Rattus norvegicus: one gene and its partner. The protein of the gene in region 1 interacts with the protein of each later gene in a pairwise test. Links are inferred from orthologs where the notes say so. Each region holds a gene or a part of one and is shown on either strand. Other genes may lie near its edges. The genes, in order: Prr22 and Nelfa.

Region 1 (3,917 bases):
TCTTTGGAAATCTCAAGACTGATTGATGGTGTCCTCATGTCCATGGGGCCTGCCACTGTCAAGACCCCACTGTGTCTCCTCAGGAAATGGAGACATCCTTTCGTTTGAGGACGCCAACTGTGCCATGCAGACAGGGGTTGCTGGGATCATGGTTGCCCGGTAAGTGACGCCAGATGGGCTGGGACAGCAATGCTAGAACTTTCTGCACCTGGGGACCCTGTGAGGCCGAGGCCTGGCTGCTGAGGTGACTGGAGCTAGGAGGCACCATGTCCTCAGTGAGCATCTCCCTTGTAGTGGCGCCTTGCTCAAGCCCTGGCTGTTCACTGAGATCAAAGAACAGAGACACTGGGACATCTCATCCTCTGAGCGCCTGGACATCTTGAGAGACTTCACACACTATGGCCTGGAACACTGGGGCTCTGACACACAGGGTGTGGAACGGACCCGGCGCTTCCTTCTTGAGTGGCTCTCCTTTCTTTGCAGGTGGGCACTGAACCAGGCAAATGGCCAAGGTAAGAGATTGTAGCCTCAGACCTCACCGAGCCTTATTGCTTCCTCTGCCCTCCTGGCCCACAGGTATGTGCCCGTGGGCCTGCTGGAACGACTGCCACAGAGGATCAATGAAAGGCCACCCTACTACTTAGGCCGTGACTACCTGGAGACACTCATGGCCAGCCAGCAGGCTGCAGACTGGATTCGAATCAGGTACGCACTGGCCAGGGCTCTACAGGTTGATGCTGTGAGGCCCAGGCCTGATCTGATCTGTCACTTTTGTCCCCACAGTGAGATGCTGCTTGGACCAGTTCCACCTGGCTTCGTCTTCCTGCCCAAGCACAAAGCCAATGCCTACAAGTAGCTAACAGAGACAATAAATTTTATTCTTGTAGAATTTCTTTTATTTTGTTGGGTTTTTTTTTTTTTTTTTTTGGTTTTTTTTTTTTTGGAGCTGGGGACCGAACCCAGGGCCTTGCGCTTCCTAGGTAAGCGCTCTACCACTGAGCTAAATCCCCAGCCCCTTGTTGGGTTTTTTGAGATAAGATCTTATATGGGCTGGCCTTGAACTCCTAGAATCCTAGGCACACCGTCCATCACACTGGCTTTTTCTTAGGTGACCTAAAATGGCCTCTGTTCCTCTTCTCCTAGGAGGTGGCCTTGGCAGGTGCCTGGTCCCCGTCTGCACTGTTTTCTGACTCTAATCTGTCCCGTTTTGTTGGGCAGTGTCCTTGGGACTTTGAATTGGGTGACTTGTATGGAGGCAGCAACAGAGACCTGGCTCCGGGTGGAGAGGGCCGCCTCTTGCCCACCCCCTCCCCCTCCTCCGGAACCCAAGTGATGGGCTTGCCCTGGACTGGAACCCTCCACCTAGCAACACGGTGCAAACAGAACCCAGCGGGACTCTGTCCCCAGGTGCCTCTGCTGCCACCCGGGCCCCCCCGGGGTGGCCTGTCTCACCCATGCAGCATCCCAAAACCCTCTATCCCCCAGCCATACCCCAGGAAAGCTTCAGCCTGCAGAACCTGGAGGGCCCTGAGGTACCAGGTGGCTCAGAACCCCTTCCCACTGTAGGTATGATGGTGGTGGTGGACAGGGGTGTGTGATGGCTATGGGGCCTGGGCCCCTGCCCCACCTACCAGGCACCTTTGTCCACAGCCAATGCTAACCTGCACTATCAGAACCCCGGCTCTGACCAGGAAGTGCTTCCAGCCCCTCCAGCAGGTATCGGCCGGCACCCTTGAGCCTCGCTCTGAACAGGCTTCATACCCAAGATGAGACCCCAGAATTGCCCTGGGTCCCCTCTACCCCAGACAGATACCCCCATAGCTGAACTGTGTCATGTTTTGAAGTAACACTGGAGAGCAGGCTGAAGCCTGCTTTGGTGACAGCGGCTGCCACTAGGCAAGGCTTTCTGAGAGGCCTGGGCACCCGAATTCAGGTCGTTGTTTTCCTGAGAGGCATCAGAGGAGAGGACCCCAACAGTCTCTGTGTCTTGCCCCCCACGAGTCCCCAGATGACTGGTAAACAGCCAGTTTTCAAGGCTCCTCAGAGGCCAAGGCTGTGTCCTATGTCCTGGGCTTTGGGACCCTCAACCCCCATGGCCTGGTTCCCCCATGGAGCCCCACTCAGGTGTCCACCACCCACAGGCTTCCAGATGGCTCCCTGCGGCTGCTTCTTCGACCCCCGCATCTACCGCATCGAGTGGGCCACCTCCGACTTTGGCCAGTCATCCCTGTACAAGGTGGCAGTGGCTGGGGGTCCTGCCTTATCTGGTGGCTACCTGCTGGAGGCCCCGTCCTACCTCAAGACCCCGGGGCCACCACCTCTGCTTTATCCCCACTACCAGCCGGCCCCCAGCGGGCCACAGTACCTCACACATTTCCTTCCACCAGAGGAGCCTATGCCTGAGGCTCTGGGCTTCATGCGGGACGGAGGGCCCCTCAACTTCATGGAGGTGCTCAGAGACGGCCTGGCACCCCCGCCAACCCCCAAAGAGACTAAGCCATCTCCCTTGCTTATCACAGTCCCCACAGCACACACGCTGCCACCTGGGCCCTATGGCCATCTCGGTGGCCAGACCAGCCAGTTTCCAGGACCCCAGGTGACCATGAGGCCCACCGAGGCCCCCAGGGAGCTGCAGAGTAGTGGTGCAGCCAGGCCGGGTCTGCAGTTCCCTCCTGGGCCTGGAGAGCCCACGGTGGCCAAGGTGGAGGAGGTCACCCCAGTGGGCTCAAGTGAGACCGTGCCTCCCGAGGTGGCTCGTGCGTTCTTCCTACCAGACAAGGTCCTTCTAGAAGATGCCATGAAACTTTTTGATTGTCTCCCTGGTGGCACTGAACCTGAGGTGGCCTTGCACAGGGGTCCTGGCCCCGGACTGCGGGACAGTGGTGGTGGTGGGGACGACTTCCCAACTGACATCCGCTCCCTGCACCTGCCAGATGACCTGCTGTCCTTTGACTACAGTGTCCCTGAGATTCTGGACGCGGTGGCCAACGTGGATTATGTTTTCAGCTTCAAGGCCCTGGAGGATGAGCCGCTGCCCCATCTTGGGGCCCCTGTCACTGACACGGCGGCCCCTGGCCTGCGGTCCCATCAACCGGGGAAAAAACCGAGCACATCCACCAAGAAAGGGAAACCAAGCGGTAGACACAGGCAGGCCACTGGCCTTGCTGGCACCACTGCCACAGGACCCAGGCTGGACCCAGGAGCCACCCCCAATTAAAGCCATTTGATCTCTCAGCTATGTGTGGACACATGTCCTGTGACCATGACCAGGCAAGACCGCCGACTGCATGGTGAGACTGGGGGTGGGGTGGTGCCAGTCACGTGCCTTCAGAGTTGAGTCAGGAATCTCAGAATTGGACTGTCAGGTATCAGGGTTGAAACTAAACTGTTAGCCCTACATTTAGGTTGCCTGGGTAGGAGGTTGGAGGCCAGTTTGGTCACAAAGTACAGCCTCATCTACAAGAAATGAAGATATGGTGCTGCAGCTCAGCTGGTAGAAGGTTGGGGGTTCATTGGTAAAGTGCGTGGGGCTCAGTCACTATTCACAAAACCCTGGACTCCTTCCCAGTGCTATATAAAGCGAGTGTGGTACATGGTTGTAACCCTAGCCCTGAGGAGGTAGGAGAAAGTCAGAATTTCAGGGCTAGCCTGAGCTCCCTGAGCCTGTCTCAAGAAGAAAGGCAGTTGCCTCAGACTGGCCATGTTGGGAGGTCTCTTGAGAAGTGGGGTTTTCTTTTCCAGACACTACTGAAATGGGTTCCCTCGTATGTTTGGTGGTCAGAGTCAAAGTGTCCTGAGAGGAGTGGGCACAAACCTGGAGATGCGGTGTGTAGGTAGGCCCTGGAGAGTGGCCGTCCCCTTTGGCCTGCCAGATTACTGCACCTCACCTGTGCCCAACAAAGCCAGAGTTTATGGAA
Region 2 (3,809 bases), on another chromosome or scaffold:
GTTGGTGCTGGCCGAGAGGCAAAGAGGAGGAGGAAGACTTTAGGTGTGTGAAGCATTGAAGATCTGGAGGGAGGTCTGACAACACTGCAGCCTAGTGTGCTGTAGTTGTTTCTGCCAGTATAGTGTCTGGGTCCTTTGAGGTTTCTTTGTGCTTTCTCTTCCCGGTCTAGTCTGCCTGTGTCTTATCTCACCATCTTAGCACAATGGTAATGGGACTTTTCCCAGGGGTTTTTTTTCTTTTTTAGTGGGAGGTGTGGCTTCTTGAGACACGGTCTGTACACTGTAGTTCATCCTGGCCTCAAGCTTGAAGCTTTCCAACTGCTAGGATTACATTTAACACCATCCAAGGAATCATTTCTTTGCCCTGATACCCAAGTGCACAATGCCATTTTACATTTGGCTTTCACAGAGAACACTTGTGACTTCTGAACTGGGGCTGGGTCAGAGAGCCACTAACCAGCTCTCTTCATTTATCGGCAGACACAGAAGTGGTAGAAAAGCCCACCAAGGAAGAGACGGTTGTTGAAAATGCCACCCCTGACTATGCTGCTGGCCTGGTGTCCACACAGGTAGGACTTTCCATGCAGTGCAGCCGTGGGCATGCTCTATACCATTTCTAGCTGCTGACAGAGCCAAAATAATGTGCTCCCTTGTGTCCTGATTGATACTGATATGTTCTGTAAAAGTGTGTGCATACATATATGCAGGTGTGTGCGCATGTGCGAGCATGTGTGTGTTAGTGGCAGAGGGAGCCAGAGCCTGACTTGGGCACCAGTCTCGTGTTTGGCACAAACACCTTCCTCATACTAGGATTACTGCCTGGGGGTGTCCATACCACTGTTATATCATGCGCCTCACTGTCCGGTGCATATGGTTCCTGTTTGCCGCCCACCTGCTCTGAAGACCAGGAGCTGCATGCATGTGGGAAGGGTGTTTCAGCAGAGCGGCTCTTTCCCAGGGTCTGACTGTGGAGGTGGGTGTGGAGACAGTTGCACAGGTTGTGTGTGGAGGCAGTGTGGCCGTTTCATGGTACGGTCTCTGAGCCCACTGTCTTTGCAGTACCCTTTTCGTTGCTAAGCTTTTTCCCCTAGATGTCAGTTTGAGAGCATAGGGTGGTGGCCATGGCTTAAGTTAAAAGTCCAGCATCACTAAAATCAGGGGCTTATGGGCTAGAGAAGCCACTGTCCCTGCCCTGAGACAGCAGTATTTGCATTCTTGCTCTGTTGATGGGCAATGGCTGACTGAAAGTGTCCAGGCTACTCCCAGGAAGGTATACTGACTGCCTGGAGAAACTATGGTCTCTGCCTTCCAGAAACTTGGGTCTCTGAACAGTGAGCCAACACTGCCCTCCACAAGTTACCTGCCCTCTACACCCAGTGTGGTACCTGCCTCATCCTACATCCCCAGCTCTGAGACTCCCCCAGGTGAGTACCAGGCAGTGTTCTAACCAGTTTTCCTTCAGCCCACAGAAGCACTTGCCCTGGGGTCACAGGGTCACTTTGACACCTGGACTGAGCCTAGCAAAGCCACCCAGGAAGTAGCAGCCTTGCTCACACAGGGTTCTGCATTAAGGCACCTGTCCCATTGTCTTTTGGTCCCAGGGAGCAGGGAGAGCTCCTGGCCGAGAAATAAGCCAGAAGTCCTGATTTGAATGAAAAAGTAAAGGCCAAGACTTTGGCACCCTGCTCTTGGGGTGGTAGGTGGGAGGATGGTGGAAGCCAAGGGTTTTCTCTTCCCAGATGAGGCACACTGCAGAGGGATGATTCAGGGGCAGAGGTCGGTCACGAGAGTTCAGGGGTTGGCTCCACTGGGCTCAGCTTTGTACGTTGGCGGTCAGTTTTCTTCATGACATGTAAGGATCAGCAGCCTTGCTGAGGCTTGGGGAAGCTGCTTTCCAGGGTCCTGTAAACCAGTACCAGTACATGTCTGTCATAGGCCAAGGGCTAACCAGAGCCCTAGACAACCTAATCCCTGGGTCTAGAAATGCCAGAGGACATGAGCTTTGCTTTGCTGGGTAGTGCACGGGACTCCTTCCCTGTCTGTGAAGGGCAGCAGTGATGGGAGAAGACAGGAGGAGGATATGGGGTAGTTGTTGGGGCAAGGGATTGGAGCTGAGCCTGTTGCCTCTCCAGAAAATGGTGTCTGGGGCAGGCAGCCTGGGGGCCAGTCTGGGATGAGTAGATTAGGAATGAAGACTCGCTTTCCTGGACAGCTCTTAATAAACCTGCTTTGCCTGCAGCTCCACCCTCCCGGGAAGCCAGCCGGCCACCTGAGGAACCCAGCGCCCCAAGTCCCACACTGCCAACACAGTTTAAACAAAGGGCACCTATGTATAACAGTGGCCTGAGTCCAGCGACCCCAACACCTGCAGCACCTGCCTCACCTCTGACACCTACTGCTCCCCCAGCTGTCACTCCCACTGCTCAGACACCCCCAGTGGCCATGGTGGCCCCACAGACCCAGGCCCCGGCCCCTGTTCAGCAGCAACCTAAGAAGAACCTGTCCCTCACGGTAGGTCCCCAGGCAGGGCCCAAGGCCATTAAGTGGGTAGCACAGCTTTGCCATTTTTGCAACCCTGGGGTTATGGGATGAGTATAGCAGGGCCAGTGGTAGAGGGTAGGGCCTCAGCAGCCCAGACACCCACATCTTCCCTTCACAGAGAGAACAGATGTTTGCTGCCCAGGAGATGTTCAAGACAGCAAACAAGGTCACTCGGCCAGAGAAGGCCCTCATCCTGGGCTTCATGGCTGGCTCTCGAGGTGCGTCTGTGCTCCTAGGCTTGGGAGGTGTCCCCACCCCGCCCCCCGCCCCATGGATTGGGGAATGGGTTCCTTGGCCCTAGACACCTGCCCAGCAGTCCCTCTCCCTACAGAAAACCCATGCCCGGAGCAAGGGGATGTGATCCAGATCAAGCTCAGCGAGCACACAGAGGACCTGCCCAAGGCAGACGGCCAGGGCAGTACCACCATGCTAGTGGACACGGTGTTCGAGATGAACTATGCCACAGGCCAGTGGACGCGCTTCAAGAAGTACAAGCCTATGACCAATGTGTCCTAAGTGCGGTCTCTGCTGCTGACCGTCATCGCACCAGAGGACAAATTCTGCTGGTTCTGCTGTTTCCTGAGCAGATACCGGAAGGATGTGTTCCACCTAGCACTGCTGTCCACAGGCTCTGGGGCCCCAGCCAGTTCTCTGGGGAGTTTAGGCTTATTTTTTTATATTGTAATGAGTTAGTTTTTTGTGTGATTAAGATACTTTTTTTGGATTCAATATTATGCTTTGAATGCAAACCAAAATTTACTTCATAATTTTAGTGCCTGTTAGACTTTTACCTTTTTTACTTCTTCTTAAAATAGTACTGGCTAAGAGGGCTTTCTTTTTCTCTGCTTGTGCATGCCCTTCCTCATGAGGTTGAGGGGACCAAAGGTGACACCTGGCAGTCTAGGGTGTGAGGGCGGCTATGACCAGCCTTGATGCCACTACCTACCAGGGATTTGTATGTCTTTTGTACAGTTGTAAACTTTTCAAACCTGTGTCTGAGTTCCTATTTTCATTGTAAAATGACCTGAGCATTAAAGTTTAGTTTTTCTAAAGAAAGCCCACAGAACTGTGTTTAAGGCTGGCTTGACTCCCTGCTCTGAGACCAAACCCTTCCCTATATGGCTGTCAGAACCTGGGGGAGGACAGGCAGGGTTGGGAGATAAGGCAGAAGTAGGTAAATGGGTAGGGCAACTGTGGGCACCCAGGAAATGGAGTCAAACACAGTTACATATTAAATAAGTGTAAGAAAAAGGCCTTTAAAGTTTTTT

What was found.
Region 2: the proteins of Prr22 (region 1) and Nelfa interact in a two-hybrid assay, tested with the Homo sapiens proteins (2 studies listed by BioGRID). The two-hybrid records come from large-scale screens. The link is inferred for Rattus norvegicus from reciprocal best matches to the Homo sapiens genes PRR22 and NELFA.

Annotation. Positions count from the first base shown.
Region 1 is NC_086027.1:1,684,896-1,688,812, forward strand, and holds Prr22 (proline-rich protein 22), read left to right. Parts: upstream 1-1,399; 5' UTR 1,400-1,454; coding exon 1,455-1,566; intron 1,567-1,650; coding exon 1,651-1,716; exon of another isoform or gene 1,717-2,008; coding exon of another isoform or gene 2,009-2,141; coding exon 2,142-3,217; 3' UTR 3,218-3,234; downstream 3,235-3,917. Other genes in the region: Dus3l (tRNA-dihydrouridine(47) synthase [NAD(P)(+)]-like), read left to right, coding at 84-159, 295-483, 577-705, 784-856.
Region 2 is NC_086032.1:81,053,950-81,057,758, forward strand, and holds the end of Nelfa (negative elongation factor A), read left to right. Parts: coding exon 1-43; intron 44-480; coding exon 481-569; intron 570-1,312; coding exon 1,313-1,424; intron 1,425-2,239; coding exon 2,240-2,511; intron 2,512-2,659; coding exon 2,660-2,759; intron 2,760-2,872; coding exon 2,873-3,057; 3' UTR 3,058-3,597; downstream 3,598-3,809. UniProt on the Homo sapiens protein: Essential component of the NELF complex, a complex that negatively regulates the elongation of transcription by RNA polymerase II.